Daphnia pulex: one gene and its partner. The protein of the gene in region 1 purifies or fractionates together with the protein of each later gene. This does not show direct contact. Links are inferred from orthologs where the notes say so. Each region holds a gene or a part of one and is shown on either strand. Other genes may lie near its edges.

Region 1 (4,034 bases):
TTTCAGATAAACTAGTAAGGAAACTCTCACCATTTATTATATTTGTCGTGGCAATCAGATAATCTGTAGGTGCTAAAAAATTTTAAGGAAAAAAAAAGTTATTGTTTAAGTTGTTATTTGCAAAATATGTTGAACGCTAATTACTTACCATCATCCCTTTTAGATAGAAATCTAAGAGCAGAAATCTCTGCGTAGGTACATCCACCGAGGAAGAATACTAATGTGACCTTGGTTTCTTCAATCGAACTATGGACACTATTTCTAGAATTTCCTAAAATACAGTCGAAGTGTGATTATAAGGTCTCATAAAAACTAAGAAACGGAAACAAACTTCTTAAATCAATGGAAATTGGTTGAGTTTCTTGAACCAAATGTCCTGGAATCAAATTAAGCACATCGGAAATCTGCTTCCATCCGGGCTTAGCTGCCCATTGAATCAATCGTACACTTAGTGGCGCGTAAATAGAATGTACATAGGAGATGTCAGTAGGTGTGATTTCATTGACGTCATCTACCGTAAGATTCAGCGCTCTCCGTATAACAGTAAAAGGACGATTACTTTGCTGCAATCGAAGGAGACCACAAGCTTCAAGATTGTGAAGCGTAATCATGTGCTGGAATCCGTAAGCGTGAATAATTTCTCTTTTGTAGTGTTCTAAGACGCGCGGCTTCAGGCCACTATTGGCAGCAGATTGCAGACAAATCAAGCGAAGAATCTGTGATAATTATAAATGTAAAATAAAGGGAAATGGCAAAATGTATCCAACTGCCACTTCAGTTACCTTAGTCAATGGTTCCTGCTTACAAATGAAATCTTCAATGTATGGACAAACTTTGTCAGTATCAATTCCATTCAAAAGGTCTTGCTCCACTTGAAGGGCCTCTTGGAATGCTTCTGAAATAGTTATTTCTTTAATCAATTCAGCGACAGATGTATCTGTAAAAAAATTATGCGTAATACAGCTTAAATAATGCGTAATACAGCTTAAATAATGGCCAGGAAAAAATACGACAAAGTATTTACGTAGTGCTAAAGACTGTTTGGTGGCTTGCATCTGCGGTAGTTTTGCTACAAACTGCTTCAACTCGCTGACAGTTTTTGCTTCGTGTCGTTCTTCATACTGAGCTGAAATAGCTTTAGCTTTGCGACTGAGTGCAGTACCCACGGCTGAAAAGTTCTTGTCCCTGTGCAAAATAAATAACTTTAAAACTGTCGGAAGCAAAATTTGTCTGATTCAAAATTTCACCTCAAATCAGCGTAAAGCTCTTCGGCCGAGTTTAGAACAACAGATTTAACAGAGCTATCATCAGAGCGAGGTGACTGGCCCGCAGGTGAAGAGGCTTGAAACTTTTCTCCTGGAAGCTTGACTGTATCTAAATAACAATGAAACCACAAAATGCAAGTAAAATAATTGTTTTACACAGAAGCTAACAATACTTTCTTACTATGTTTTATTCCATAGAATTCGTCGATAAGACCCTCATAGGTCAACTGAGTGACAACAGGAGTTATCAAATCTACAGTCCTATCAATGATCATGAGAGTGTCGAACAACGGAGACATGGGGGGATCACAGTCTACCCCAATATCACGTCGCATTCGAGTCATCAATTCGAATACGTTACGGGCATGGCGTCCCTTACCCACAACGTTGGGGAAAATGCCATATAAACTTTGGAGGGACATTAACCCATGAGCAATTTGGTGTAAGGAGCTGATTTCATTATCAACATATAGATCCTGGGAAGAAATTTGAAGAAATCAATGACAAGCAATCCCTTTCAAAGTTTGGCTCATAAATAAATACCTTGAAAACATTATCGAGTTCCATTGAAATGACATCACTATCCAGTGGGAAAAAATCAACAGGCAGTTCATCAATAGAAGTAAGAGTTCCATACACTCCTTTGTCCTAAATGAAGTAATAATTTTGTCAACAATTTCTTCTTCGCTGATTTAAGTAACTTTAACCAACCTTGAGCCGTTGCTCACATACTGCACTTCGTCGGGAGACAAAAATTAACTGATATTCCTTACTAGCAGAATGTCCTTGGCTTTCTTCGCTGAAATGTAAATTAACTAATTGTTGTCTATTTAAAGTTAAAATATGTAGATTATTCATACCTGTGCAAGTTATCTGCAATACAATCCATCAGCTCAACTTCAGGTCTTGTGATGAACAGTATATTTTTAACAGATATGGAAGGCAAACGCCCAGGTTTTAACTGGAACATTTTTACAACATCTAGTTCCTTAAGAAAACTGTATTCTGCCACCAAACCAATGGGGCCAGTGAGTTGTTCATCCCAAAATATCGCCTAGCATAATTGATGAATTTACGTAAATTTCTTAAATGGAATAGCACACACCAAAATACCTTTGTTCCACTGAACTTCTCTAAAAGAGAAACAATATCCTGTAAAAATAACAAAACTGTTGACAAAATTTATTTTTACTGTATAAAATTGTACCTTTCTTGCCAACTCTCTCAGCATACTAAAGTTGACTTTGCCAGCTGATAAATGAGCCATGGCTGCTTTGTTAATAAAATTTGACTTATAAATTGGTAAACAGATTCGATCTGTTAGATTTAATTCTTTAAGATACGTCTAAGTACGTCGCTATTAACTGTCCAGATTCTAGATTTCTTAAGCGAAGGGTTTCCGAGCTTTTGTTTCTTTGTTTCTGATGAGGAAATATTTCGATTATTTCGTAAATGATTGGTATTGATAGTTGCTTTAAAGTATATAGTCAACTAGTAAATAGACCCAAGCTGAGAAACAGTGACCACTGACAAGTATCAGCACAACTGACAGCTTACAGTTGTAAACACTGAACAGCTGAGATAGGAACCATACAGTGTTGCCATTTTCCGAAACGGCTATCCTGGACAGTTGGCAAAAGCGGCAAAAGCAAAACACGGATTATGGAAACACATATTACACTTTCCTCTCATTAGTCATTTCGCTTATCATAAAGTACATTAAATAAATTCATAATCATTGAACTCCTATTTTATTGGACGTCCACAAAAACAATCACCTTGTTTTAATGGTGTTTTAAAAATGGCGCTCTTCTGGCTTCAACTTGACAAAAGTTTCACTGACCTCCCACAGCTTCTTGGCTAATTCGAGGTCTTTTGCCAACTTGGACGTTTTAGCAATCTGTGATTTTAAAAAAATTGTATTTTTAATTCGAAAAATATTTAAAACTTGCATTGCAAATATTATTTCCGGTACATCTTTATCAACTTTTAGATTATCGTTGTATGCATCAGCTTTGATTTGCAGGCATCTATATTATTAATAAATGTTTTTTGTTTTAAGTTAATATTTTACCTTACAATCGCTGAAATATTCTCCTGTAACGTTGGCGACTTCGTCAGCCACAGCCAAGTGAATACTTGTCTGCGCACCTTCTTTGGCCGACTGAAATATAGAAGGTAGACAGTTATAACGTTCAACGGATATGTAAATCAATCTCAGTAATGAATGAGGAAACAAAATTGAATTCTCAGTTTTCTCGTCTTAAACCTTTGAGAAAATAGAAGACACATGTGATGCAATTTTCACTAAAGTCTCATAAGGAAGGAAACGACCAAATTCAGTTTGAACGACACCCGGATGAAGAGCATTGACAGTAATGTTTTTACCTATAAGAAAAAATAATAAGTTAATATACATTTAATTTCTAGTGTATGTATGCTTGATGAAAATGAAGTATTCACAACTAATTAAACAGTGGAATGAGATTTTTTAAAATGCAGCAGAAAAAGAAAAAAAAATAAAAAACCTTAAAGAAAAGTGGAATGCAGACCGCGGCTACCATCTGGAACCCTAATTAAATTACTCGAGTAATATTTGGCTGAATCAGAATACAACAACATATAAAAAATGATGTTACATGTTGGAGCGTTGCGAAAGATTTCAGTTTTGACAGCACCAGGATGCAAACAGTTGACGGTTACACCTTATCGTATGCAACAATTGAATTTAAAATTGAGGTGATTAAAAATATCAAAATTAGCTTGAAC
Region 2 (4,295 bases), on another chromosome or scaffold:
GCACAAGTTTTCGTTTAGTTGAGGAAAGTATTAAGCAATGAATTAAAATATTTATTGATATGCAATTATAGGTCTGCCGAATTACATTAAAGCCCGACAAATTGCCTTGAATTTGAAAACACCACTCCCAACGACATTTGATGCTCTAAATTCAACCACTTCACCAGAAGTATGCACTTTTAAAACTCGCCAATTAAAACTTTGTTTAATAGACATTTTTATGGTGCAAAACCTAAACACTTTCACCATCACTTTTAGATTGTAACATATTTCAAGAAAATTTATGGCTCGGTGAACGACATTGATTTATACATCGGTGGAGTAACAGAGACAAAAGCACCAGGATCTCTGGTGGGACCAACATTTACTTATATTATAGCTAAGCAATTTGAGAACCTGAGGCAATCTGATCGTTTCTTCTATACCGATGTAACGCAATCGGTTTCTTTCACTGCAAGTAAGAACAAAACCAATTTTGGTAATCTTTAGTGGCCTACTCAATTACTATGTGAAAAAAAAATGTTACTAATAGATCAACTGGTCGAAATCAAGAAAGTGAGTCTTGCCCGCATCATCTGTGACAACAGTGATGGAACTATTGCGCAAATTCAACCGCAGGCCTTCCGTACACCAACTGTGTAATGATTAATTTGTCACAAGTCTACTTGAAAAAATGAACTAATTTGATTTCTAAAACAATCATTTTATAGCACAAATATGCCAACTTCATGCAGTAGCATTCCAAAAATGGACTTTGTGAAATATACCAAATAAGCATCTGTATGGGTATCAAGAAAATGCATGGTTTTCACAGGCAGTTTTAAGAAAAATTGTGTTGTAAAATGGTGAAGGGAGGGGGGACTAAGGGAAAACCAATAGAAGACTACATTGTCTGTATACTTTGATAAATCTAATTTTCCTTTGAATAGTACATGTTCTCTATACTACGACAGAAAATATAGCTATTTCCCCCTTATCCTTGATACAGATATTTTTTCCCTTTTGAATAAATCTGGTCAAAGATACGTAATTAATTGAAAACTTGACTTACCGGTGATGATTAAGATGGTACTGGATACTGGGTTCTTGCTCATGGAGACCACCATTCAATGTTAATCATCCTGAATAGTATGAAAGAACAAAGAGATTAATGTTTTGTAGTTATTCAACTTTGAGAAATTGCAAAGAATATAGAAATGAACTACTCACTACATTGAAGGCACATTATTCTCAGCTTTTCACTGTCTCAGTATGTGGATGTGGGCCAAGAAAAGATGAAATTTTACAGTAGCTAAAGCATGGTATAGAAATCCTATACCATGGTACAAGAAAACATTATTAAAGTTGTCTTTCTAAAAAATAACTGCAGAGAAAGTCTATTGCACGTCAAATCAAAAAACGTACTAATCATGCTCTGTGCTCCTACGTTGCCATTTTATGATTTTAACTAACAAAAACCAGCAAAAACAATAACAAAAAGATCAAGAGTCGTCTGCATTTGACACCCCTTCAGTGACGATAAAATGTTGCAGAGTTAAAAGGCGCAGTAAACGATTTCTAGTTATTTTGTTACACAGAAAAAATTATATTATTTGTAAGTAGTTTCTCAGTTAGTTTTTCATTTTTACTTAGATTATATGTTGCCTTACAAAATGTTTCCCTTAACTGATGTTAGGAAATCATGGAAGAAACTGTTAGCAAGCTTGAACAGCATGATTTTGTGGAGCAGGCTGCAGAGATGTCACACAGTTTTGTTGCTGATGATGATGATGAAGAAGAAGAAGTTGAACCTAAGCTAAAGTATGAGCGATTGTCCAATGATATAACAGTTATCCTGAAGAAAGATGCAGCCAGCTGTATCGCTGTACATCCTAAGGTAAATATGATTAAATTGACAGTGCTTGTTTGTTAAAAATGTCTATGTATTTTGTAGTATATTTTTATCATTTCCCTTTAGTTTATGTGTCTAGGAACCAATTGGGGAGCATTGCATTTACTTGATCATCTTGGGCATTCATCACAGCAACAAGAGTTTCCCACTCATGGAATGGCAATAAATATGGTTGATATTGATAGTGGAGGAGACTATATTGGTAGCTGTTCAAATGATGGAAAGGTAGACTGAAGCATTTAGTTTTCACTTTCAGGTATAAAAATCTTTAATTTTCTAGGTTATGGTGTCTGGGCTTTACTCTACAGAAAATTGCCATACACTAATGGTTGATCGACCTGTCAAAGCTATTGCTCTTGATCCGCTGTACTACAAGTCTGGTTCTGGAAGAAGATTCGTAACTGGCGATGATAGGCTTATCTTACATGAAAAAGTGTTTCTTTCTCGCCTTAAATCGACCACCTTATTTGAAGGGGAAGGTGAAATCACTAACATTAAGTGGAAAAATAGGTTTCTTGCTTGGGCGAGCACAACGGGAGTAAGAGTCTTTGACATGTCTGTTCGCCGCATAATCAGCGTTGTCAAGAAAGATATCAGCCCTGGGTATGCATACATTTTTAAATATTATTAGAAACTGTTTACTAAATCCCACATAAAAAATACAGAATCAACCCAGAAAGTTATCGGTGTATCCTGTATTGGAAGGATGATTTGACACTGGTCGTTGCTTGGGCAGATGACATCAAGGTCTGTGTCATCCGAAGGCGTCCGGATGCTGACGCAGAGCGACTAAATCTTCCGACACATTACGTTGAAATTGGTACGTTTACCCTGAAAAAATAGTATTCCCTTTTTCTTAACGTTATAGATGCAATTTTATCTTTTCCAGTTTCGATGTTTATTATTGACTCATTCGTGGCTGGCGCTGGATGGCTGGGCAATCATTTAGCCCTTTTAGTAGTTCCAAAAGACGAGGAACTATCTGGCAAGGGTCAAAGACCTCAAATGAAGTTGGTGGAACCACACCAGGAAAGTTACAATGAAATCTCAGCAGATGTTTTATCAATTCGTGGCTTTCAGGAATACTCTTGCAACGAATATCATTTGGGTAATAAAGCAAATCAACCTGGTATATGATTGGAATTGACCACTACTTTTGGCCAATTTACAGAATGTCTGGCTGAAGAGGGTCAATTTTTCATCGTTAGTCCAAAAGATGTTGTTTTAGCTAAACCGCGCAATCCTGACGATCACGTCCAGTGGCTTATGGAACATCAGTAAGCGCAACTTTCAAAGTTTTTTTTTTCTCACAAAAAGAACTATCTTATTTCTAAAATAGAAAATACGAAGAAGCCATGGAAGCAGTTACGGGGCCACAAGCACGTGAACTGAAATGCCATTCTGTTCTTCAGGTCGGTAGGACGTACCTCGATTTCCTTTTGTCGAAGGGAGAGTTCCAGATGGCTGCCAAGCTCTGTGTTAAAATTCTGGGTTCGTACAGTAATTTGTACTCACTTTAGCCGTTCTTATAAATTGTTCGTCTCAAACAGGCAAAGAGAAAAATCTTTGGGAAGAGGAAGTTTTCAAGTTTGCTCGATTGCACCAACTACGGGCTGTTACCCCTTATCTTCCAAGAGGTGAATGTAGATTGGATCCACATATTTACGAAATGGTTCTCTTCGAGTTTCTCAAAACTGATTCAGCTGTAAGAACACATAATACTATGAGTAAAAAAATCAAGAAATGATTAAACGTTATTCTATTTCCAGGGCTTTCTTCGGCTAGTAAGAGAATGGAGTCCTACGCTCTATAACATTGCAGCTGTAATGAACGCTGTGCTCGAGCACATTCTTCGCCATGATCCAGATGATACCACTCTTCTAGAAGCCTTGGCTATTTTGTATTCTCACGAGAAGAAATACGATCGAGCCCTGGCAATGTACCTCAAGTACGTCAAACAAGGTTATTATTCTGTTATCGCGATACGGATTTCAAAATAGTTTTTGTTTCAGACTTCAGCATGCTGATGTGTTTCGGTTGATTGCTCAACATCAGCTCTTCACCACCGTCCACGATAAAATCCTCGCACTAATGGAACTGGACGTCAACCAAGCTTGTACGTTATTCCTAGAACACAGCGAACACATTCCTTCCGATTTAGTGGTGTCACGTCTACAAACTAAACCACAATTGTTATTCAAGGTTAGTCGTTCAAAACTTATCGTGTGAGTTTTTAATTAATTCAAGTTCGCTACAATTGTAGTATCTGGACGCGTTGTATCTCAAAGAACCAAAGGAAGGAAGCCGAAAATTCCACGGCCTTTTAGTTTCCCTCTACGCCGAATATGCGCAAGAAAAATTACTTTCCTTCCTCCGCAGCAGCGATTACTACCCGATCCAAGAT

Evidence for each region. The genes of interacting proteins can lie anywhere in the genome.
Region 2: the proteins of vacuolar protein sorting-associated protein 33A-like (region 1) and vacuolar protein sorting-associated protein 41 homolog purify together in Homo sapiens (affinity purification with mass spectrometry; 5 studies listed by BioGRID and IntAct, counting the BioPlex papers as one, with this or other methods). This does not show direct contact. The link is inferred for Daphnia pulex from reciprocal best matches to the Homo sapiens genes VPS33A and VPS41.

The regions. Positions count from the first base shown.
Region 1 is NC_060022.1:3,591,242-3,595,275, forward strand, and holds the start of vacuolar protein sorting-associated protein 33A-like, read right to left. Parts: upstream 2,855-4,034; 5' UTR 2,533-2,854; coding exon 2,473-2,532; intron 2,418-2,472; coding exon 2,379-2,417; intron 2,320-2,378; coding exon 2,126-2,319; intron 2,065-2,125; coding exon 1,977-2,064; intron 1,914-1,976; coding exon 1,809-1,913; intron 1,742-1,808; coding exon 1,447-1,741; intron 1,375-1,446; coding exon 1,248-1,374; intron 1,186-1,247; coding exon 1,025-1,185; intron 938-1,024; coding exon 783-937; intron 717-782; coding exon 332-716; intron 272-331; coding exon 149-271; intron 73-148; coding exon 1-72. Other genes in the region: retinol dehydrogenase 13-like, read right to left, coding at 3,061-3,165, 3,340-3,429, 3,535-3,653.
Region 2 is NC_060028.1:9,539,055-9,543,349, reverse strand, and holds the start of vacuolar protein sorting-associated protein 41 homolog, read left to right. Parts: upstream 1-1,462; 5' UTR 1,463-1,594; intron 1,595-1,675; 5' UTR 1,676-1,681; coding exon 1,682-1,876; intron 1,877-1,957; coding exon 1,958-2,116; intron 2,117-2,171; coding exon 2,172-2,494; intron 2,495-2,556; coding exon 2,557-2,711; intron 2,712-2,780; coding exon 2,781-2,999; intron 3,000-3,062; coding exon 3,063-3,168; intron 3,169-3,230; coding exon 3,231-3,382; intron 3,383-3,441; coding exon 3,442-3,596; intron 3,597-3,660; coding exon 3,661-3,839; intron 3,840-3,903; coding exon 3,904-4,093; intron 4,094-4,154; coding exon 4,155-4,295. Other genes in the region: peroxidasin-like, read left to right, coding at 72-169, 259-457, 533-638, 711-774. UniProt on the Homo sapiens protein: Plays a role in vesicle-mediated protein trafficking to lysosomal compartments including the endocytic membrane transport and autophagic pathways. Acts as a component of the HOPS endosomal tethering complex.